3 linked regions of the Notamacropus eugenii genome follow. The protein of the gene in region 1 purifies or fractionates together with the protein of each later gene. This does not show direct contact. Links are inferred from orthologs where the notes say so. Each region holds a gene or a part of one and is shown on either strand. Other genes may lie near its edges.

What was found.
Region 2: the proteins of HNRNPA1 (region 1) and FAM120A purify together in Homo sapiens (affinity purification with mass spectrometry; 4 studies listed by BioGRID and IntAct, counting the BioPlex papers as one, with this or other methods). This does not show direct contact. The link is inferred for Notamacropus eugenii from reciprocal best matches to the Homo sapiens genes HNRNPA1 and FAM120A.
Region 3: the proteins of HNRNPA1 (region 1) and DDX17 purify together in Homo sapiens (affinity purification with mass spectrometry; 4 studies listed by BioGRID, with this or other methods). This does not show direct contact. The link is inferred for Notamacropus eugenii from reciprocal best matches to the Homo sapiens genes HNRNPA1 and DDX17.

The regions. Positions count from the first base shown.
Region 1 is NC_092874.1:227,403,224-227,410,932, forward strand, and holds the start of HNRNPA1 (heterogeneous nuclear ribonucleoprotein A1), read left to right. Parts: upstream 1-4,708; 5' UTR 4,709-4,876; coding exon 4,877-4,891; intron 4,892-5,512; coding exon 5,513-5,629; intron 5,630-5,857; coding exon 5,858-6,004; intron 6,005-6,132; coding exon 6,133-6,343; intron 6,344-6,445; coding exon 6,446-6,538; intron 6,539-6,628; coding exon 6,629-6,721; intron 6,722-7,145; coding exon 7,146-7,220; intron 7,221-7,487; coding exon 7,488-7,646; intron 7,647-7,709. UniProt on the Homo sapiens protein: Involved in the packaging of pre-mRNA into hnRNP particles, transport of poly(A) mRNA from the nucleus to the cytoplasm and modulation of splice site selection.
Region 2 is NC_092874.1:422,041,393-422,048,943, forward strand, and holds the start of FAM120A (constitutive coactivator of PPAR-gamma-like protein 1), read left to right. Parts: upstream 1-4,551; 5' UTR 4,552-4,636; coding exon 4,637-5,110; intron 5,111-7,551. UniProt on the Homo sapiens protein: Component of the oxidative stress-induced survival signaling. May regulate the activation of SRC family protein kinases. May act as a scaffolding protein enabling SRC family protein kinases to phosphorylate and activate PI3-kinase.
Region 3 is NC_092874.1:295,927,137-295,934,294, reverse strand, and holds the start of DDX17 (probable ATP-dependent RNA helicase DDX17), read left to right. Parts: upstream 1-4,158; 5' UTR 4,159-4,430; coding exon 4,431-4,480; intron 4,481-7,158. UniProt on the Homo sapiens protein: As an RNA helicase, unwinds RNA and alters RNA structures through ATP binding and hydrolysis.

The DNA.
Region 1 (7,709 bases):
AAAGTATTTGAGTGTCTATAGCTTTTCACAGGATGGCAAATCAGGTCATCCTTTCATTCATTTTCCTAACCTCCTGAGACAAGCTATAAGTTTTAGCCGTTATCCTGCTCTCTAGTTTCCCCAAAACAGATCTTGATCTTTAACAGTCTTCAAGATAAATGGCCTGTTTTTTTAAGGTGAGTTCAATGCTCAATACAGTTAATAGAATCTCTACCAGCTTATTCCTCAATCTGGATTTTTCAATGGCAGAAAAAGAAAATTGAATATTACATGACTAGGTCAAATGAGAATTTCTTTGGCACAAAGAGCACCTCCGCTGCTTCACTTCAGGGCTGACCAAGTTAGCAATAATAGATGTAAAATAAAAAGTCCCCACTTGCATAATGGCAGGGAGTTAACAGGATAAAATTTACCAGAACATTTACTTAACACCTTGGACTAGAAGTCAATTCATATTAAATTTACAAATTCTATCCATAAACACGGTAGACTATTCCATGAGGAATAAATGGAGTGGAAGGGGGGAAGGAAGATTGGATACAAGTTAAAAGAATTTCCTAAAAAATACAAGTCAGTCATTCCCCAATTGATAAATGGTGAAAGGATATGAACAGGCAGTTTTTCAAAGAAATCAAAGCAATATATAGTCATATTAAAATGCTCTAAATCATTACTGTTTAGAGAAATACGAATTAAAACTCTGAGATATCATTTCACACCTATCAGATTAGCTAAAATGACAGAAGGGGAAAATGACAAATGTTGGAGGGGATATAAAAAAATTGGAAATTTAGTACACTATTGGTGGAACTGTGAACTAATCCAACCATTTTACAAAGCACTCCGGGATTATACTCAAAGAATTATAAAACTGTGTATACCCTTTGTCCTAGCAATACCACTACTAGATCTGTTTTCCAAGGTGATCAGGGTAAAAGGAAAAGAACCTACGTTCTAAAATATTTAAAGCAGTTCTCTTTGTAGTGGCAGGGATAAATTGCAGGGATGCCCATCAATTGGAGAGTGGCTGAACAAGTTGATATAGGATTTGTGATGGAATATTACTGTGTTATAACAAATGATGAGCATGTTGATTTTAGAAAAACATGGACAAACTTGCATAAAATAAGAGAGCAAAATGAGCAGAACCAAGAAAATGTTGTGTACAGTAACAGCAATATTGTTTGAGGAATAACTATGAACTACTAAGTTATTCTGAATATTATACTCAAATCAATTACAAAGAACCTATGAAGGAAGATGCTATCCATCTCTAGAGAAAAAACTGATAAATAGAAGTGTATATATATATATATATATATATATATATATATGTATATAGTGTAAGGTTTTACATACATGCATATATGCCTACGTGTGTGTATGTACACATACATATATAGAGAGTGTGTGTATATACATACACACACACACACATCAGTCTCAAATGGTGGCCTTCTCTAAGTTCAGGATGAGGAGAGAGGGTAAAAGGGAGACAGTTTAGAACTTAATATGTAACGAAAAAATTTTTTTTAAAAAGAGGAAAATTCTCAACAAAACAAACTAAATCAAGAACTGTTGCTTACTTTAGCTGTACAACCAAGAACTTCTGGGGTTGAACCTGAAGCTGTTCAGCCTCCCAATCCTTACTCACTTAATCTGTCATTCAAACTGCCATGTTCACACATTTCATATTTAACAGGCTGCAAAGGTGAATCCTCACAGACAAAGAAGACACCTTTTCCCAAAGATGGTAAATCAGCTGTCCATTCTTGACTGGAAGAGGGAGTGATTTGGGGACCTAGTTTCCAAAGAAAAAGTGTGAACAAACCACTTAATTAAAATGGCTTGTTAAGAGGTCCAACCTAGCTGAAAATAAAAGAAATAATGAAATAAAGTCCACTTTGAACAAAAGCACATTCACACTCATTTTAAGCATTCAACGTCTGTGAACACAATACAAATGTATAGCAATTAACAGGTCACAGGTTAGTAACAATAATAAAAATTTTAATGAATTTTTGTTTTTATTCAACCATACATGGAAAACACAAAAAATACACTTTTCTTGGAAAATGTGAAGCCTATAGATCTGATTTATCAGATCTTTAAATAAAGAGTCCACACACTTGTTAATCTGGTTTTCAAATACTACTATCATATGGCATATCTCTTTCTCCCTATGTTTAATCTCCAGTTTATATGAAAGGCAGATAAAGGTTCACATGAGATTCTCATCAAATGTGGTATTAAATCAAATTATTCATTTCCCTCCTACCTTTAAAACAAATGATATAATGATTAATTTTAACTCATCTCACATCACACCTTGTGGTCAAATACTGAGATTGTGACTAGTTAGATCACTTTCAGATACATCCTGTTATTGTGGATAGAGAGATAGTCTTGAAGTTAAGAAAATATGGGTTCAAGTCTAGTTTCTGACACATATATCCTGGTTGAGTGTTCCCCGGCAAGTCACTTAAACTATCCCAGGAATTCTGACACTTTAAGGAGTTTGATTTCCTTACTCTGTGCTTCCCTAAACCAAGGAAATTACAGGGCCTCCTCAGAAGATTTCATCTTTTGCATAGATCACAGAAAATGGAAATGAGCAGGAAAGCAAATTTTGAGTTTTTATTTACCAAATGTCTTTTTAAAATTTTATTTCTTTTGTGTACAAAGTCAGAGGGGACTATATAATAAAATTTCCTAAATTATGCTACTTCCAAAGAAGCTCAATTATTAACCCTTACTGAACTAGTCTGGAACAAAGCATCTGATGACATTTCTTTCATTCACGAACATGTGAATAGGTAAGTGTGGATCTGGAATCACCTCAATTCCTCAAGGATTCATCCTGGTTATTGAAAGGCTTCTGGATTCCCCAAGGCATGGCTACTTGGGAAGTTTCCTCATTTTACAAGTGAGGTAGTTTCAGATGACCAGATGACTAGATAGAGAGAGGTCTGAAATTTCCTTCATTGCAAAAGAAAAGGGGTGAAATGGGGAAGGTGTGTGTGTGTATATTTGTGCCTTAAAAAGCAAGTTCCAGACAAATATCTATGTTATGTTAAAAAATAAGGCTCCAAATATGTGGTCTTGGTGTACATGTGTGTTAAGAAGCAAGGTTCCAAAGAAATTTGTAGTCTTGGAGTGTATGTACGTGTTACAAAGAAAGGTTCCAGACAAACATGTGGTCTTGGATGAGGGTGTTATGTGCTAAAAAGCAAGATTCCAGAAAAATTATGTAGTCTTGCAGTGTAAGTATGTGTTACAAGGCAAGGTTGCAAACATGTGGTCTTGGGGTGAGTGTGCCTATAGGGTACAAAGCAAGGTTGTAGACAAACATGTGGTCTTAGTCTTTCCCTGGCCTGCACTGAACCCTAAGAGGAAAAAGGGCCGAAGAAAAGGCAAGCACTGATGATCAATCAGGCTTACAAGCCTCAGAACAGGACCACAGATGGGACTGGGCAAGCCCACAGACCTCCGTGAAAAACAAGTCATCCCCTAGGGATCCCCACCCCCAAAAGGCAATCCTCCTTCCTCGGAACCCCAAATCTAAACCCACCCCCCGCCAGAGCGCTGATTGGGCCGTCTCCCCGCGCGCTTTCCTTGGTTTGACCTCCCATTGGCTATTCGCCTGGTCCATCTATCTGAAAGACCCAGCCCTCATCTCTCACATTGGGCTCAGACCCTTGTCTCTCTGGCGAGCCCAACCTCCCCGCGCACTTCTCTCCAATTTGCTTAGAGCGTCCCAGCTCAGGAAAGAACCCGCCTCCCGCCTTCCTGTGGCCCAAGGATCGATGTCAGTTACTAAGAACCACCAAATGGAGTCTCAATTGGTCTACGGTCTTGTCAATCTTATTCATCCATTGGGTTCCCTCCTATACAGCCATTGGACGAGAGGACAGGCCATCAGGACAATTACACCCGCCTCCTGTTCGCCTATTGGTTGATCAACCCTGTCGCTCTTCCTCCGCCCCCCCCCACCCCAGCGGTCCATTCATTTCACACAATAACGGGCCCGATTGGAATTGCTCCAAGGACCTAGAAGTGTAGACATGGTTGTTTTCCACTTACCCGGGACTGAGAGCGTTCTCTCACCCTAACCTTGTCCCCGTTCCTCTGCGAAGAGGCCGGACCACAAGGAACCACCGCCGCCTTCTGCGCAACGCCAACCGCCCGCCAAAACGGATCCGCCGCTGCGCTTGCGCACGCGATCCAACGAAGGACCCTTCCTCCGCCCACTGCGCATGCGCATAAAGGGACAAGACTCCCGCCACTGCGCAGGTGTATTACATAGGTCCGTTCTTCCCCGCCATTACACGTTGTACAAATAGCCGTCAGGTCTTTTTACTGCGCTTGCGTTAATTGGCTGTGGCACTACGCATGCGCTCTCAGAGAATAGAAGCCCAAGAAGTAATTGTTAGTCATTTATTATTTTTTTAATTTTTCACGTTTAATAGTGTTTTCCTCCCTAAATATAGCGTAATATTTTAAACAATTAAAAATTAAAGTTACCTAAAAAAAACTGGTTACCTTCAAACAAGAGTGACTGGCAGGAGAGCCAATCAGGCGCTTTAAAAAAAAAAAGAACTTCTCAGAAGCCAATCAGCAGCTTCCTCGGGGCGGAATTTACGCAACGCATTACGCTACGCAAAGATGCGCTACCATAGACCAATCGGTAGCTAGAATGATTGGAGCTATCCAATGGTTGACAAGGAGGGGAGGAGTCTACCAATGCAGAACGCGAGGAGGCGGGATTAAAAAGCGGGTACGAAGGTGGGGAGACAGAAACGCTAGTTAGCTATCTCCTTTCTGTTCTCGACACCGTTGGAGAAGGATCGCTGAAGCTTTTGCTACCGCTCTCACCATGTCGAAGTCAGAGGTAAGGGAGTCGCAGCCCAACGATTGTGCTATCTCGTTCTTCTCTGTTCTGTTCCCCGTATCCTCTTACGGTGCTTAGCCCAATACGCCTCTAATACGACCTTTATCCGTGAGTTCTGTAGCCTGCTGTCGCTGTGGCCTGCTCCTTCCACACCCCCCCCTCCTAGGTCGCCATTTTGTAGGCCCGGCCGCCATGAGCCTTTAGCCCTCGCGGTCCTCGAGTTACAGGCTCTTCGAGTGCCACCGGCCCAAACCCTTTGTCTCGTTTGGCCTTATCTCCCCTTGATTTGGGGCTGGTTTCGATTGCCTGACGACCAGGTTTTTTTTTTTTTCGTTTGTATTCGCGGTCATCCACCCTCTCTTTGTTGCGCATGCGTTGTTTTTTTGCCCCCTTTCTTTACCCACCCGTACCCGGGCTTCTGACAGGCGGGCCTGGGCGCTAGTGTAAACCTCGGGCCCACTCTTTGTCCCCTGCTGGGGGGGGGGGGGGCGCGTGTACTTTAAAGCGCAGCGCCTCTTTCAGCCAGGGTCCCGCGCCGATTCCCCCCCCCCCCCCCTCCCGACCACCAGCCATGACTTAAAGACCCTTCCCTTTTCCAATTCTTTGAATCGTGTCGTCCAGTCCCCCAAGGAGCCCGAGCAGCTTCGGAAGCTCTTCATCGGAGGCCTGAGCTTTGAGACGACGGACGAGAGCCTAAGGAGCCATTTTGAGCAATGGGGCACGCTTACAGACTGCGTGGTGAGTGCTGAGGCCCGGGAAGTGGCTGTACATCCTGAGAAAAATTCACACGTGGGGGTGGGGGGTATCTTTAAAATGTGCTTTTGTTGGAAATAACTTCCTCTTAAATTGGTTAGTGCAAGAAGCTCAGTGGCCCATCATCTGCTTTTGTACTTGCAAGAGACTTTTGTGCCTTTTATTGCCTTTACTGCTTACTAACATGTTGTCTCTGCTCCCTTAATGTCTCAGGTGATGAGGGATCCAAATACCAAACGTTCCAGGGGCTTTGGTTTTGTTACCTATGCCACAGTGGAAGAGGTAGATGCAGCCATGAATGCTAGACCTCACAAAGTTGATGGCAGAGTTGTTGAACCAAAGAGAGCTGTATCTAGAGAGGTATGTTCCTTCATCTTTTTGGAAGTAACGATTTATAATACAGGTTGGGTTAGTCCTTTAAGGCTTCTGCGACCTCGAGATTGTGAGTTTCCTAGCCATTTCCACCGATTGTTTTTCGTCTTGTCTAGGACTCTCAAAGGCCAGGAGCCCACTTAACTGTGAAAAAGATCTTTGTGGGTGGCATTAAGGAAGACACTGAGGAGCATCACTTACGAGACTATTTTGAACAGTATGGAAAAATTGAAGTAATTGAAATCATGACTGACCGAGGCAGTGGCAAAAAAAGAGGCTTTGCTTTTGTTACTTTTGATGACCATGATTCTGTGGATAAGATTGTCAGTGAGTATCACAAATGGTATTGGAAGTAACCAAGCTTTGTAAATCTTCTTTGTTGAGATTTACCGGCAGTTAGGTGTTTCTAATTGGAGATTTTTTTCCTAGTTCAAAAATACCATACTGTGAATGGCCACAACTGTGAAGTAAGGAAAGCTTTGTCTAAGCAAGAAATGGCCAGCGCTTCATCTAGTCAGAGAGGTAAGTTTTCTATACCACTGGTTTGGTTGCCATCTTGTGCTTATTGTCTCCAGTTTTTTAAGGGTGGTCTTTTTGTGTGTGTGCGCGTAGGTCGAAGTGGTTCTGGGAACTTTGGTGGTGGCCGAGGGGGTGGCTTCGGTGGAAATGACAACTTTGGCCGTGGTGGGAACTTCAGTGGTCGTGGTATGTATTTTCACAGTAAGCAAGCAGCAGTACTTTTAATTTTGTTTGGGCCTTCTGTTAAAGCTTTTAGGTATTCATGTGGAAAAGAGAAACTTTGCTGCTTCCTCTCCAGTCTAGTGACCATCCTTACTATTTCTTTCTGGACTTTTGTCAGGACTTTGCTGCCTGTTTGGTAGCATTCCTCTGATTTATTACCATTTTGGACTGTTGGCTTCAGGCAGATAGTTTGGTCACCAGTGGTTTGGATATGGTGTTATTCTTGATTTGGTACCTAAGTTGGTTATAGTAAAGGTAACTTGGCTGGATGAGGATGACTAGGTTTTTGTTTTGTTTTGTTTTCTTTCGTTTTTTTGTTGGGTTTTTTTTTTTTTTATTTAGGTTTGATAGCTGATGCCCAACTGAATGCCTTTTTTTTTTCTTCCAGGTGGTTTTGGCGGCAGTCGTGGTGGTGGAGGATATGGTGGAAGTGGAGATGGCTACAATGGATTTGGAAATGATGGTATGTGCTAAAATCTTACTTAGAATATAATTATATCAAGTTGGGTAAATAAAAGGATTCTTGGCCCTTCCTCTCCCCCATTAGAACAGGCCTAGTTTTGCTTTTTTTGTTGTCTTTCTTTTGTTTTTTAAGTGCTGCATGTGTTGAGCTTGACCTGATTGTCCCAACATAACATGCATGCTGTGTATTGGCCTTGAGCCTTTAAGCTTGCATGTATTTTTTGACTGTCAAATTTGTCTTACTGAGAAGAATTGTATTCTTCTGTAGGTGGTTATGGAGGAGGCGGCCCTGGTTACTCTGGAGGAAACAGAGGCTATGGAAGTGGTGGACAGGGTTATGGAAACCAGGGCAGTGGCTATGGCGGGAGTGGCAGCTATGACAGCTATAACAACGGAGGAGGCGGAGGCGGCTTTGGCGGTGGTAGTGGTAGGTATCAAGTGAACCCAAACAAGTATTATGGTGTGGTAGTCTAGATTAGTATTGTAGTTT
Region 2 (7,551 bases), about 190 Mb from region 1:
AACTTGAAGTTTTGAATCCAACAACCTACTACTATTGCTACTTATTTTAAGAAAATTACATTGCTCTGTATGGTCACAAACTTCAGAGTAAACTCCAGTACCTTTCCTTCTTCCTAGAACACTCATCTTCTCCTGTCCATGATCATACATGTCTTGTGGGAAATGAAGTCCTTATTCTCTTCTAAGAAGCATTCATATTTGGGGAGTAGGCATCTTGGGAAATAGAATCCTTTCACACCTCAGTTATGCCTGTCAAATGCGACTTGGCTGCTGAAAAAACTAGCTTAACTTTAAGGCAAGTTAATAGAAGGACAATGTGCCAAACATGGAAAATAAAAGTATTCTGTCCTGGCCAGCCTAAATTTTAAGTATTGTGTTTGGTTTTTAATGCTACAGTATAGAAAAGGCATTGATAAACTAGAGAAGGGTGAAGTGCACCAATTTCTGTGTGGATACATGAATGAAAAAGCTTACTGTCTGCTAAGTGTTGGGACCACCAATCAAAAACAAGATAGACCCTTCTCTCACATTCTAATTGGAAGCCACATATATAGGAGGTCTTATAGGCATATCAGATAGGAAAGTTCTATGACTTTTAGGGTATGGTGGCAAAGCTGATGTTAAAAGTCTTTAATGTCATGTCCACTGATAAAACCATCTCTAGCTTTGTTGTTGAACCATTTGACAGTACTAAGGGACTTTGGTGGGAAGAATGTTCTTTTCTGGGTCTTCAATAGCTATGCCTCCTGTTAAGGAGACAGAAGCTGTAGCACCTATAGGAACAGGATAGGTCACGACTCCATGAAGAAGACACTGATATTTCCATGGTTCTTGGACTTACCTGCCTATTCCTGGCAATTACACAGGCTGCTCCCCTTGAACATAACTATGAGAGGCTAAGCTGGAAACACTGCTGGTGGTCTGAGTGGGTGGGAGGAGTCCCCACTATTATCTGGATTCACAACTCTGGGCTTTCTCTGTTAGACCCTTAGGGGAGGTGATAGCTGACACCACAGCAGTGATTGGCTTCCCTGGCATGTGCTGCTCCTGTTTTTTCTTCAGGGTACCTGACTACTTCACCTAAACTGGCATGCCAGGTCAGCTGGTGGCAGTTGGTGGGATAGCTGGCTCCTTGTCCACAAGTGTTGCTTCCTTGGTTGATGGCCACAAAGGCAGTGCTTGGAGAAGTCTGGAGGGAGAGGAGTCACTATTCCTGAGGCTTTGGAACTAACTAGTGCACATCAGTAGCAGTTGGTCAGCAGTTGGTATTGGTGGTGGAGTGTATGATGGGTCCCTTCTCTGACTCCCTTTCACAACAGCTTAGGAAACCTGGGTAGAAGCCACTCAGGGGGTCTGGGAGGCACTGCTAATCCCAATGCTCTTACAGATCAGGGACCTGGGCTATCTCAATTGGCATCTGAAGGGCAATAGTCATTGAAATGGAGACAACGGTTGGGTTTGTTGTTTGAAGTGTTACCTACAATTTTTCTTTTTTTAAAAAATAATTTATTTTTAGTTTTCAACATTCATTTCCATAAGATTTTGAGTTTTAAATTCTCTCCCCTTCCCTCTCCTCTGCCCTCCCCAAGACGGTGTGCAATCTGATACAGGTTCTACTCACACATTCATATTAGGCATATTTTCACGTTATGTGACATGAAGAAGAAACAAAACAACAAAAGAAAACAACAAATAGCATGCTTCCATCTGCATGCAGACTCCAAAGTTCTTTCTCTGGATGTGGATAGCATTTTCCATCATGAGTCTTGGAGTTGTCTTAGACGCTTACACTAATGAGAAGAGCCAGATCCATCAAAGTCAGTCATCGCACAATGTGGCCATTACTGTGTCCAGTGTTCTCCTAGTTCTGCTCATTTTACTCAGCATCAGTTTGTAGGGGTCTTTTCAGGTCTTTCTGAAGTCTACCTATTCATCATTTCTTATAGCATAACAGTACTCTATTACATTCATATACCACCACTCGTTCAGTCATTCCCCAACTGATGAGCATCCCCTCAGTTTCTAATTCTTTGCCACCACAAAAAAGCTGCTATAAATATTTTTGTACATGTGGGTCCTTTCCCCTTTTTATAATCTCTTTGGGATACAGACTTAGTCGTGGCATTGCTGGGTCAAAGGGTATGCAGTTTTATAGCCCTGTGGGCATATTTCCAAATGGCTCTCCCAAATGGCTGGATCAGCTCCCAGGTCCACCAACAATGCATTAGTGTTCCAATTTTCCCACATATTTTTCAACATTTATTATTTTCCTGTTTTGTCACGTTAGATAATCTGACAGGTGCTTCCACTTTTTCTCTGGGTACCTCGTTGCTCTCCCTACCTACTCCCATGAACGTATATAGACACACACACATGCATACACACATAACACTGTCTCACAGTCTCTAATGCAGAATGCACTAAGGCATCCCACAACTACACACTACATGACATGAGAGCAGAAGCTGTCTTATCTAAACTTTTTAAACAAATCTTCCTAACATCTGGAAGTGTTTTTCAGGTAGCGGCCTTACACCTTCTGGATTTTAAGGCGCTTACTGTCCTACATGTCTGCCTTTACTTTTCTGCTAGAAAGGGCATGGTTTCAGGGAAGGAGCACTAGACTTAATGACTGGTTTCTGGCTCCATAAGACGCTCAGTTTGGCTACTCATCAAATAGGGAGCATGGATGCGTCTGTGGGTGCCACTGCCACGCACCGTTGCTTGTGTTCACACGTGGCCGTGAGTGGCGGGCTTCCAGCCCCCCCCACAAAACCTGAAGTGATGAAGAACTACTGGGACAGGTGTGACAAGAGCCTTCCGACACCAACACCGCACAGGCCCAATTCCCAAACTCTAGAGCAGGACTCCCATAGTCCTCTGGGGCTGCCTTATCCTGACCGCACTGCTGGTGCCTCTTCCCTGAGAGCTCTAATGCTGGCAAAATGTGGCCTTGGCAAGATGCCCACCACAATCCTCCTTTTCCTTCGTTTGTTTGCTGGTCAAAGTTGCAACAGCTCATAATTTTCGGGGGGAAAAGAGTGGGAATTCGGTGAGGGGCCTCCCTTGTGCCTGGCACGCTGTCGGCGGACGCCCTCGAGGCCGCCGGGGGTCTCCGGGGTGGCCCTGGCCGTCCCCCCACCCCCAGGTCTAAGGTGAGGAGGGGGGAGGCCAGCGGGGTTAGGGCGGGCGAGCGGCCCAGCAGGAATCAGCATCCCCAGCGGCCGCCGTGGAGAGGAGCGCGCAGCCCCGCGCACGTAGCAGCCCCAAGGCCGAATCTCTCCGCCGTCCGCTCCCAGGCAGAACCACAGCTTCTAGCGGGCCCTCCCGCCCTTCCTTCCACGCACCTCGCACGGACGCACGCCCCCTCCCCCAACCTCGCCCTTCCCCTTCACCCTTGACCCAGGCTTTCGGCCTGTGCTCTCTCCCCACCCCCCGCCTTTCAACAGCCCCTCCCCTTCCCTCCGCCCATGGCGCATGCTCCATGATGCAACCGGCCCCAGCTCCCAGGCCTCAGGCCTTACGGCCTCCTGGAGGCCCGCTAACGGCGGCGGAGGGAGGGGACAGTTCGCTTGGAGTCCCAGCCCAGTTTGTCTCCTTCCCTCCTCCCACCCCGTCCGTCCATCCACTGGGAACTGGGGGGATGGGGTGTGACCGTGGCGGGGCTGGTGGGGGCGGGTGGTGCCTGCCCGTCCGTTCTGACTTGGGCTGAGGAGCGGGCCTCATCGGGCTTCGCTGGGCCCGCTCGGGCCTGTCCTCACTTCCCCCTCCCTCAGCCTCGCTCCCACTCCAGCCCAGGCACCGCCTCTTCCGCCGGCCCCTGCAGGGTCTCCTTCCCGTGCGGCGGCGGGCTGTACGTCAGCGCTCCCCCGCTCGCCCGCCACACACTCCCCTCCTCCTCCTCTCCTTTCCTCCTCCTCCTCCTCTCCTCCTCCTCCGCCCTCGCCCCCTCCCTCCCTCAGGCAGCAGCAGCAGCAGCAGCAGCAGCAGCAGCAGCAGCCCCAGCAGCAGCAGCAGCGGGAGGAGCAGCAGCCCCGGCAGCAGCAGCACCAGCAGCAGCAGCGGCGGCGGCGGCAGATCCCTCCCCAGCCATGGCCCTGTGAGGCAGCAGCACATGGCGGCCGCAGCAGCCATGAGCGCCCCCCCGACTCATACAACTCCCCCCTAGACACCGCCGCCTGCCCGGCTCAGCCCCCGACGACCCAGCAGCCACCCACCCGGCCCAGCCCGCCCGCCCACCAGCCAACCGCCTCCAGCCGCCGCCGCCGCCGCCAAGGAAACCTCCGGCTCCTCACTCATCCTCCCCCGCCCCATTTACCAGCCGCCGCCGCCGCCGCCGCCACCACCGGAGACCGAAGGGGGGAGCTCCCGGGGAGGGAGGGAGGGAGGGAAGGAAGGGGACGGACACCAGCCCGCCCGCCAGTCCAGCCGAGCCGCCGCCGCCGCCGCTGCCGCCCGCCGGGCTGAGGGAGAGGAGCGGGCGAGGGGAGGGGGAAGGGCAGCCTCCGCCAGGGACCTCCGCCCGCCGCCGCCGCCGCCGGCCGGCCTGCCCACTTCACCTCATCGCCGCCGCCGCCGCCGCCGCCGCCGCTCCCGCTCCCGCTCCTCCTCCCGCGCCGCCGCCGCCGCCGCCGCCATGGGAGTCCAGGGCTTCCAGGATTACATCGAGAAACACTGCCCGAGCGCCGTGGTCCCGGTGGAGCTGCAGAAGCTGGCCCGGGGCAGCCTGGTGGGCGGCGGCCGCCAGCGGCCCCCCCAGACCCCGCTGCGCCTCCTCATCGACGCCGACAACTGCCTGCACCGTCTCTACGGCGGCTTCTACACGGACTGGGTGAGCGGCGGCCAGTGGAACCACATGCTGGGCTACCTGGCGGCCCTGGCCAAGGCCTGCTTCAACGGCAACATCGAGCTCTTCGTCTTCTTCAACGGGGCCCTGGAGAAGGCCCGGCTGCACGAGTGGGTGAAGCGCCAGGGCAACGAGCGCCAGACGGCCCAGCAGATCGTCAGCCACGTCCAGAACAAGGGCACCCCGCCGCCCAAGGTCTGGTTCCTGCCGCCCGTCTGCATGGCCCACTGCATCCGACTGGCCCTCATCCGCTTCCACATCAAGGTAAGGGTGGGGGGCCCCTTCCCTGCCCCCACGCCCGCCCCTCCCCCACGCCTGGCACCGCCGCCCCCCTCCGGCTGGGCTCCGAGCACCCTGGCATCACAGCGCCCCCTCCTCTCCTCGGGCATCTGTACACCATTGGCTGGCTTCGCCTCTCCCTTGCCGAGCTCCCCCTTGTTCCTTGGCATCCGAGCGCCCCCTCTCATCTCCCCTGGCATCGGCCCCCCCCCCGCCCTGGCCATGGCATCGACGTTGGCTCAGTGGCACCCACCCAGGCCGAGAGGGAACCCCCTGCCCCCGGAACGGGAGATGGATTTAATTGGCCCGAACGCCCGGGGCGGGGAGGACTGTTGGGGGTGGTCTCTCGGGCGCCCTGGAGTTGAGCTGTTGGGGTTCGGGAAATCGCACCCCTTGCCCTCCTTCCCGGATCCGCAAAATGTCGTCCCAAATTGGCGGTGCTGGGGGCGGGGAGAGGAGACCGTGGCCGGGAGACGGAAAGTTTGCAGCGCTGGGCCTCGGGGGAGGTTGGGGGGGCCGTGAGCGGGGCCCCCTGGGAAGTGGGAGCCCTGGGCTGAGCGGGCGCCTCCTGCAGCGAGTCCTGGAGCGCCCGGGCCTCCCGGGCCCCCTCCCTCCTTGGGGGGCCTTTTCTGGGGGGTTGTGCCTTCTCGCTCCAACTTTGTTCCCCCTTGATGATGAGAGTGAATTTTCCCTCAGACTTTTGCCCCCAGGGTTTGGGGAGGTGTGCGGGGGCTTCCGAGCGGAATGGGGGGCATTTCGGGGACATCTATTGGGATCAATCTCTCCTCCCCGCCCCCCCGTCCCACTTTTTCGTCTTGAACCTTTATCTACGAGGGTCGAGTTCGGTAGTAGTTACTTTCTCAAACAGCAACAGGTTCTGCGATGGAGAACAAGATCATTTAAGCATAGCTTCCCGGAGCCGAAGAATAAAAACTAAATTTATACTAAATAGTGTTAAAAGGATTTTAATCCGTACGTGGCTCACTAAGTTGACCGAAAAAGTTAATTGTAGAACTCTGGTTGCTTCAGATCTCAGAACCATATTGCTGGTTTAACTTTTTTTCCCTTAAAAATAATCCAGCTTTGATGCTCAGACTTATTTTGTCCAATTTTTGCAAGTTGTAAACCATTGGATAACCTTTAGAGTTAGTTCTGCCCTTTGGGGGCATCCATGTAAGAGCTTGCAGGTGAAACTAGCAAGTTTCTTGTGTGCTCGATGGGAAAGGCCGGCGTGACGCCGAGTGTGGAAGCCGGAGACCCCGGGAAAGCGTGAAAAGTTCGCGTGAATGTGCGGGCTCCTGCCTTCTCGCCGGGTGAATGCTCAGCGACCTTCGGGCGGTGCGGGGATCGGTGCGGGGATCGGAGGAGGGCTTAGCCCGCCCGGCTTTGTGCTGCCTCCTCGCCCGAGGGGCCGGGCCGGGGCTCCCAGGGTGTGTGTCCCAAAGTTTCGCTTTTGGTGTGGGGGGTTCAAGTGGAGATGAACCCCATGTGCGTGTTTCATCCTAGGAGCTCCTCCTTCCAGCACCGCCGGCCCGGTGGCGGCTCCTTTATTTTGGCACGAAAGCGAGCTGGAAGTTTGAGGGGGTTTTCACTGCTCGGATAACTGCCTCCTGAAATGTAAGGAGAATTCAGACCCAAATGATGGCGGAAGTCCCACCTCCGTCCTGGTGCTATTGGTGAAAATGGGTTTTGAGTCTGTGGGTCGATGGATCCTGAGAAGCGATTGGCCCGGGGGAATAGGAAACGTGCAGTGTGTCCCTGGCTTCGCGGGGTGCTGTGCGGGGCGGGTGGGGGCCGCCCGGGAGCCGGGGCGGGGGGGCGGGGGTCCGGGGGGCCGCCCGGGAGCCGGGGCGGGGGTCCGGGGGGCCGCCCGGGAGCCGGGGCGGGGGGGCGGGGGTCCAGGGGGGCCGCCCGGGAGCCGGGGCGGGGGTCCGGGGGGCCGCCCGGGAGCCGGGGCGGGGGGGCGGGGGTCCGGGGGGCCGCCCGGGAGCCGGGGCGGGGGGGCGGGGGTCCGGGGGGCCGCCCGGGAGCCGGGGCGGGGGGGCGGGGGTCCGGGGGGCCGTGGCCTCCCCCCGCCAGGGGCTGGTTCTGAGCCGGTTGTCACTGCCGTGTTGCTTGGGAGGCGGGCAGCCCGTGGCAGCTTTTACTTTGAGAATCAAGTCCTGTCCTCCCTCGCCGAAGCCCTGGAGGTTTTCCTGGAGCCCGTCGGAGCAGCGTGACCCGGTCTGTTACCGCCGAACCGAACCGGGAAGGTGTCCGTGCGCCTTTCTGACCCCCGCTGCCCAGCGCGCAGTCTGGTTCCGGCTGGACGGACGCACTTAATTGTGGAATGATTGTTAAATCGTGTTCCATTCAGAAGTGATTTTTGAAAAGGAAGACTTACTTTTTCACGTGGATCCCCGAATACAAATACTATGAAGAAATGC
Region 3 (7,158 bases), about 69 Mb from region 1:
GAGAAATGTTGAGATGGTTGGTAGCATGGATGGTCAGTTAGTGTGGTGAGATTATATTTAAACAGGGAGAGGGATGATAAGCAGAAGAAGTCAACAAGGAAGGCATAAGACCTTCCCAGGAGGGCCAGGGATCCAGTCTTATTTAAAATGTGAATTTCCTTTAATCCAGCAAATATTCGTTATGCTCATATGTGAAGTGAGAGGAACCATGGCTTGGTGCTCAGAGTGCCAGCCTTAGAGTCAAGAAGTCCTATATTCAAAGCCTGCTTCCAACACATCTTGGTGAGACACAACTCCTAGGCTACCCTAGAAGACTGTAAACTACAAAGGGTTCTCCAGCTATACTATCAGAGGAAGTTTCTGAGGGATGAAATTGCAGATCCCTTCTCTCCTCCTCACCCCACCACGAAATGTTCTAGGTGCTGGGTTAGTCCTGGGGATTCAAAATAAAGTATTCCTGGCTCTCATCCTACCCAGAAAAGTAAATAAATGCAATTGGAGTGAGGAAAAAGGACCAATCATGTCATAGGAACTAGATCTAGAGCTGTAAGAGACATCAGACCTAGTTTTACAGAGTAGGAAACTGAGGCCCAGAGAGGTCATCACTTGGGTAGTGGAATTTTAACCCAGCTCCTCTGAATCTGTAGCCAGTGGTCTTTTCACTGTGCCTTGCTTCTTCCTGAGGTGATCAGGAAAGGTTTCCCATAAGTAGTGGCAGTAGAATTAAGCCTTGAAGAAACTAGGGTTTCAGAGAAACATAGAAGTAAGGAGAAAGCCTTCCAAATAAGCCAGATAGCCTGAGCAAAGGTACAGTGCTCTCTGTCTTAGAAAGAAATGGTATTCCCCAGGAGATCAATGGTCAGAGGAGATGACCAGGCAGAGTGTTGGGTGGCTTTTTTTTTTTTTTGGTAATTAAGTCATTTTATTTTTTTTCAAATTACATGTAAAGACAATTTTTTACAAGATTTTGAGTTCCAAATTTTTCTCCTTCCTTCCCTCCTCTCTGATATAGGTTATACATATGCAGTCACGTAAAACATATTTCCCCATTAGTCATGTTGTGAAAGAAAAAACAGAACAAAAGGGAAAAACCATGAAAAAAACAAAGAAACTGAAAATAGTATACATTCAGACTGTCAGTTCTTTCTCTGGATGTAGACAGCATTTTTCTGTCATGAGTCCTTGTAAATGTCTTAGATCACTGTGTCACTGAGGAAATCACCACTAAGTCAATCGTGGTTGATTATTGCACAATGTTGCTGTTACCGTGTACACTGTTACGGTTTTGCTCACTTCACTCAGGATCAGACCATGTAAATAAATCTTTCCAGGTTTTCCTGAAATCTAGACCAGGCAGTTTTCAAAAGAAGAAATTCAAGGTATCAACAGCCAGATGGAAAAATGCTTCAAATCACATGCAAGTTGAAACAGCTGTAGATTCTAGCTCAGACTGGCAAAGATGGCCTCAAAAAGGAAAATGACAATTTTGGGAGGGCCAGGTACACCAGTGGACTGTTGATAGGAGCTGTGAATTGCTCCAGCTATTCTTAAAAGCAGCTTGGAATTATACCCCCAAAATCACTTATGTGTGTGTCTCTTGAACTAGTCATATATCTTGCAAGAGGTCCAAGACAGAGGAGAAGGCCCCATATGTACACAATTTTTTATTAGCCAGTACTTTTTATTGTCAGAAAGACTGTAAACAAAGTGAGTGCCCATCAATTGGGAAAATGCTGAACAGATTGTGGTACATGAATGTAATGGGATGTAATGTACTATAAGAAATGAGAAAAGGGACAGATTGAGAGAAATTTGGGATGATGATGCAGAGAGGAGCCAAAACAATTTACACTACAGCCACACTGTAATGACAAATAACTGGGGAAGGACTTCAGAATGCTGCTCCATCCAAACTCCTGGAAGACGGAGGATGAAGTCTGTTTCCCATGTCTGGGAAGAGGTTAGATGGAGGAGGATCCAGGAGACATATACCTTCGGATGCGGCCAGGGAGTGATTTTGCTTTGCATAAATCAACTATGCTTTTTTATAATAAGGGAGGCCTTTTTTTGGGTGTGGGGGGGGGGTGCTGAAAATAAATGAGGAAGGAGTGATACTAATGTCCAAAAAAGAAAAAGAAAAGTGTCAGTGAAATATTTTAAAATACACAGAAGGGGAATCAGACAAGCAGGCCAGTGTTGAAACTGCCATATTTAACTAAACGCATACTTTAAAAAGCCAAGCTGTCCATAATAGAGCTTTGTGGTTTCCTACACAATCTTTTTTTCTCCACAAATAGAAATGTTTGTGTTTTCCCTGATGTTTGCTAAGCTTAGGATTAAAAATAAATTATTTTAAAAAAGCAATTAAGGACAGTGACCCCCAGGAACTGGAATTACAATTGGAATTAGCTGAATGGAGTTAAATAGGGAGGTCTAGAAGACATTGAGTGATTGATGCTGGCCCTTAAAAAGTGCCTGGTGAATTCATTAAGGAGAAAAGATTAAAGTCTTGACGGAATATTATCGTGGGAAGACAGCATGAGTCCGGGCTGGGGAAGGTATTGTCTCATGCAGGAAGGAGCCCAAAGCGACATAGGGGAAGAAGGCTGTGGGACTGGAGGGGGAGGGGTAGAGCTCCCCACACAAGTAGTAAGAGAAGCCCTGGGAGCTGAAGGGCTGAGATCCCGATACCTCATGGGTCTGTCCTGGGGATCAGATGAGGCAGAGGATGCCAGTGCTTCGCACATCCAGGCCAAGTCCTAGTGTTATCCAAAGGGAACTAGCCAGGAATCATCTGAGATGGTGAACATTATGCCAAATCTAAGTTCTCCATTTTTAGATGAGGGAATTGAGTCCTAGAGAAGTGACTTGGCCAAGGTCACCGGCTCATTTCTGGCAGAGGCCTCCTGCCTTGGACCTCACTCTCCATCAGGGATGGACTGGGGCCAGCAGGTCCTGCGCAGCTCGCTTTCCAGCCTGCCCACCTCCTTCCCAGCGTCTGCTAGCCTAAGGACTGACACTTTGTAGCAATCTTGGTGCGCCGTCAGCGCGGAGCCCTGGGCTTAGAGTCTGGAAGACCTGAGTTCAAATCCGACCCCAGACGCCAGGTAGCCGTGTGACCCTGGGCAAGTCACCTACCCTGTTTCCTCCTCTTCAAAATGAATTGAAGGAAACGACCAACCACTCCAAAGGCGTCCCTGAAAGTGGGGTCCAACTGGAGGGAGAATGAGCCTGCGGCCCGAGCCGGGGAGGTCCGGGCTCAGATCCTGCCGTGGGTCTCGAGGCCAGTCACTTTCCCTCGGTTTCTTCTGGGGTAAAAAGAGGGAAGTCACGAAGCATTTATGAAGCCCCTACTGGTAACCAAGCTCTTGGTTCGCTAAAGACACCAAACCTCCCCCCCCTTCCCCCGCCTGCCGTCTAAGGAGGGGCGCACCAGGGAACCCAATCCAGTGCCAGTTCAGGGACAGGCTTGGACCGGAGAACCGGCTTTCAGCGGCCAGCTCGTTGTGCATTTATTAAGCGCCTGCAGTGTGCCTGCTAGCCCGAGCGCTAGATAATTACTGGGCACCTCGAAAAGAGGCGGGGGGTGGGGGGGAGGTCCGGTGCGCAGGCGCACCGCGAGTTAGGGGGAGGGGCGGGCCCTGCGGACAGCGGCGGGGGGAAGGGCGGGGACGGCGGCGCTCCAAAGCCCGCAACATGGAGGACGTTATTGTCGTCGCGGCGACGCCGCCGCAGTGGAGGCCGGAACCCGGTATTCTCCACCTCCGCTACACTACGTAGAGGGCGCAGTGCCGCGGTCGCGGGCGGGCGGCGGGCTGCGGACGCCAGGAATGTTACGTAGCGACCCGGCCGCTCCCCGCCCCTCCCCCTCTCCCCCGCCCCTCCCCCGCCCCAGCTTACGCCACGTCGTCGCCCCGGCCGCGCGCCAGCTCTACGCGCGCTGCGTAGCTCGGGGGCGCCCTGGCGGGCGGCGGGTGGCGGCCGCCTGCGCAGTCGGCGTGGCGCGCGTTCGGGAATGGCGCCGGGGCCCTCTGCTGGGGGCGCGCGGGGCGGGGGGAGGGGCGCGCTATCCGGAGCGGCTTACGTGCCGCCTGGGCCGTGCGTAGCGCTGGAGACGGCGCGGCGGCCGCCATTTTGTGGAGCCGCGCCGCTGAGGGAGGAAGGAGCCGCCGCAGCCGCCGCCGCCGCCGCAGCGCGCCCGCCTTCTCCCAGCCCCGCGCCCGTCTCCGACGCGACCGCAGGCGACGGTGGCGACGCCGACGACGGCAGACGTCGCCGAGGAGCGAGCGCTTCCGAACCCCGGGCCCGCCTCGGCCTCGTCCGCCGCCGCCTCCGCCGGGCCCCTCCGCGCGGCCTGCGCCCCCGCCGCCGCCTCGCTGCTCCTCAGGCCCCCGCCCGGCCGCGCCCCGCTGCCCGACCCCGGCGCCACCATGCGAGGAGGCGGCTTCGGAGACCGCGACCGGGACCGGGACCGCGGAGGGTGAGGCGGGGAAACCGAGGCAGGGGGAGGGGGCGGGCCGACTGGGCTGGACCCCGAGGCGCGGAGGGGGGGGGGTCACCATGGAGGCCGCGGGCACCCCCGGAGGAGGAGACTGAGGCAGGACCGGCGCGGGAAACGGCCCTTATTTATTCAGGGGGCGGCCGGGGCGACTTGGCCCCGGGTCCAGATGGGGAAACCGAGGCGCGGAGAGGAACCTAGGCCTTGGAGCTGGGAGGGTGTGGACCTTGTTCGGAGCCTTGTAGAGGCGGGGAAAGGAGGCGAGAACCCTGCCGGAGGTGGCGGAGGCTGCCCCCTCCTCCCCCCGGCCCCGGGGAGCGCTTTCCCGTCCGCAGAGGGCCCGCAGAAATACCGCAGGAGAGGAAGGTCGGGGAGGGCCCAGCCCGCGGCGCTCCTCTCCCTCCGCTCCCAATCCTGTTAGGTGGGGGGAGGGGCCAGGAACCAGGCCCGGAAAAGTTCCCCGTGGAGCTGAGCAGGACCTGGCCCCGAGGCTCGAGTGCCAAGATCCTCACGATCTCGGGCTCCAAGGGGCCGTTGGTGGTGAAGGGAAGAAAGGAATCCCCCATCAGATACAGAAATAGGATTTTTTAAAAACCCTTTTAAAACAAAGATTACAGAAAAAAACTACTGTGCTCCAGAGGATGGTGGGGAAATAAAGAGGGATATTTGGAATCAAATTGAGGAGGAAATGGAAGGTCCGTAGGGGCCAGGAATATTGTGGTTTTAGGTTTAACACCTGGGGGGCACTTAATGCTTAAAGAAAGACTAGCATTTTCCCTTGTTGCCTCTGTTTGTTGCCTTAGCTTCTTGTGGCATCTCCAGCTAAGGGTGTCTAGTATCTAGCTTTTTGGGTTCAGAGTTCTTTATGTGTTAAAGTCGTTTGGCAGGTTAATAATCCTTTAATTTGTATAGTGCTGCATTTCTCTTGATCCTTAGAGGGGATCTTGGAAGCCAACAGCTTCCAGCCAGGTCAAAGGACTTTCCCTAGATCACATGACTCATTGACTGGCCCTGGCCTGGAAGGTAGCCAGGTATACTGATTGCCCACTCTTACTCTTGACTTTTCTCTTCTGATGGAGATCTAGTGGGCATTAAGTAAAACATTTGTTCATTGCATTGAGGATTCCACCAGTGCAGAGTAATGTCGATTTTCTATCTTAAGAAGATTCAAAGAAACATGGTGCTGCCATTTTGGAATATGCACTCCTACTTGTAGACTCTTTAATTGTAGCATTTTAACTGAAGAAGGTGCTTTGGGGGCCCATTTAAGAGAATACAGAAGGTATTTAGCCAGTTGCTGCCTCTTTGACAGGTCTTAAATCAGGTATGAAGGGTAATGGTCTTGGTTTTTTTTAAAAGACTCAAGGCCCATTCTCCTACTGGATCCTTAATATGGTCAGTTGAGCTTTCTCATTGTAAGTTCAGATTTTGGGAAGGTGAATTTTAAATTTGAGTTATTATACAAACTACTTAATTCTAAGCTTTCAAAATGTTAAATGGTGGTATAAAATCTTTTGGGAGTGGGGTCTGGAGAAATTTAAACTAAAAACCAATAGATCAGGTCTGCAGCATATTGAAATATATAGTAATAGGATCATGTCTGATTTTGCCTCTCAATGTCACTTTAGCTTGTTGAAGAGCCAAATGGTTTGAATTTGCCTATTCTCTATACAAATACCAGATACATATATTTCATGATAATGTACCTTAAGGTGTAACTATCAGGAGAAGATAGCAGCTTCTGATTCTTGTTTCATTACTTAGCGCTATTCCTGAATGCCTCCATAAATTTCAAATGACAGAACAGTTGCCTTAGTACAAATAAAGTGGTGCCATTTTAGGTGCCTGTAAAGACCTTTTCATTCCTTTCTCAATTATCCCAACTTATTTTTGCCCAGATAACTAAATTGTTAAACGATATACACAGGAATGGGTATGGTTAAGTAAGTGATGGCTGTTTTTGTGATATAGTGCAAAGTTCTGGCCAGCAGCTTCTCAGCATCCTTTTAATACGTACCAGAAATTTTATAAAATTACATAAATATTTAGCATCCAAAAATAACTGGTAAGAAGTTGGATATTACCGATCCCCCAAATTGTACTCTTGCAAAGCCCACTTGAACGGTTATTTTTTTTAAAGATGGAATAGATCATACAAATCCATATGTGGGCAACCTTTTTGGCTTAGCTTTCATTGATATAAATGTGTTTGAAAGAGTTGAATAGCCTTCAATTGATAATGGTTTCATCCAGAAACTTTCTGATATAACAGGACAGATTATAATTAGTTAATTGCTAATTAGTAAAATTTAAATCATTAAAGAGAGTTGTTGGGCTTATTAAACACATTATTATGAAAGCAAATACATAAAGTGTCAGACAATTTTTTTAAACCCCATCACCACCCATCTTTAGTGCAAAATAATAAAATAATTTTGTATTAATAGCAAGAGCAAAGGTCTGACATTCTTAAGAAAATAGGTGCATCATTTTATTTGTTAGTTTAAAAAAAAATGGAGCAGTGCTGTTAGAACTAAACCAGAAATGGATAGCTGGGAGATTTAATCCAACCCAAACGCAGGCCTTTGCTTCCTTGTTTGGAGAAGAACCTGTTAGCTTTGCCTCTGTAGTCTTGGTGGTGTAGGCTAGAGAAGATGCCG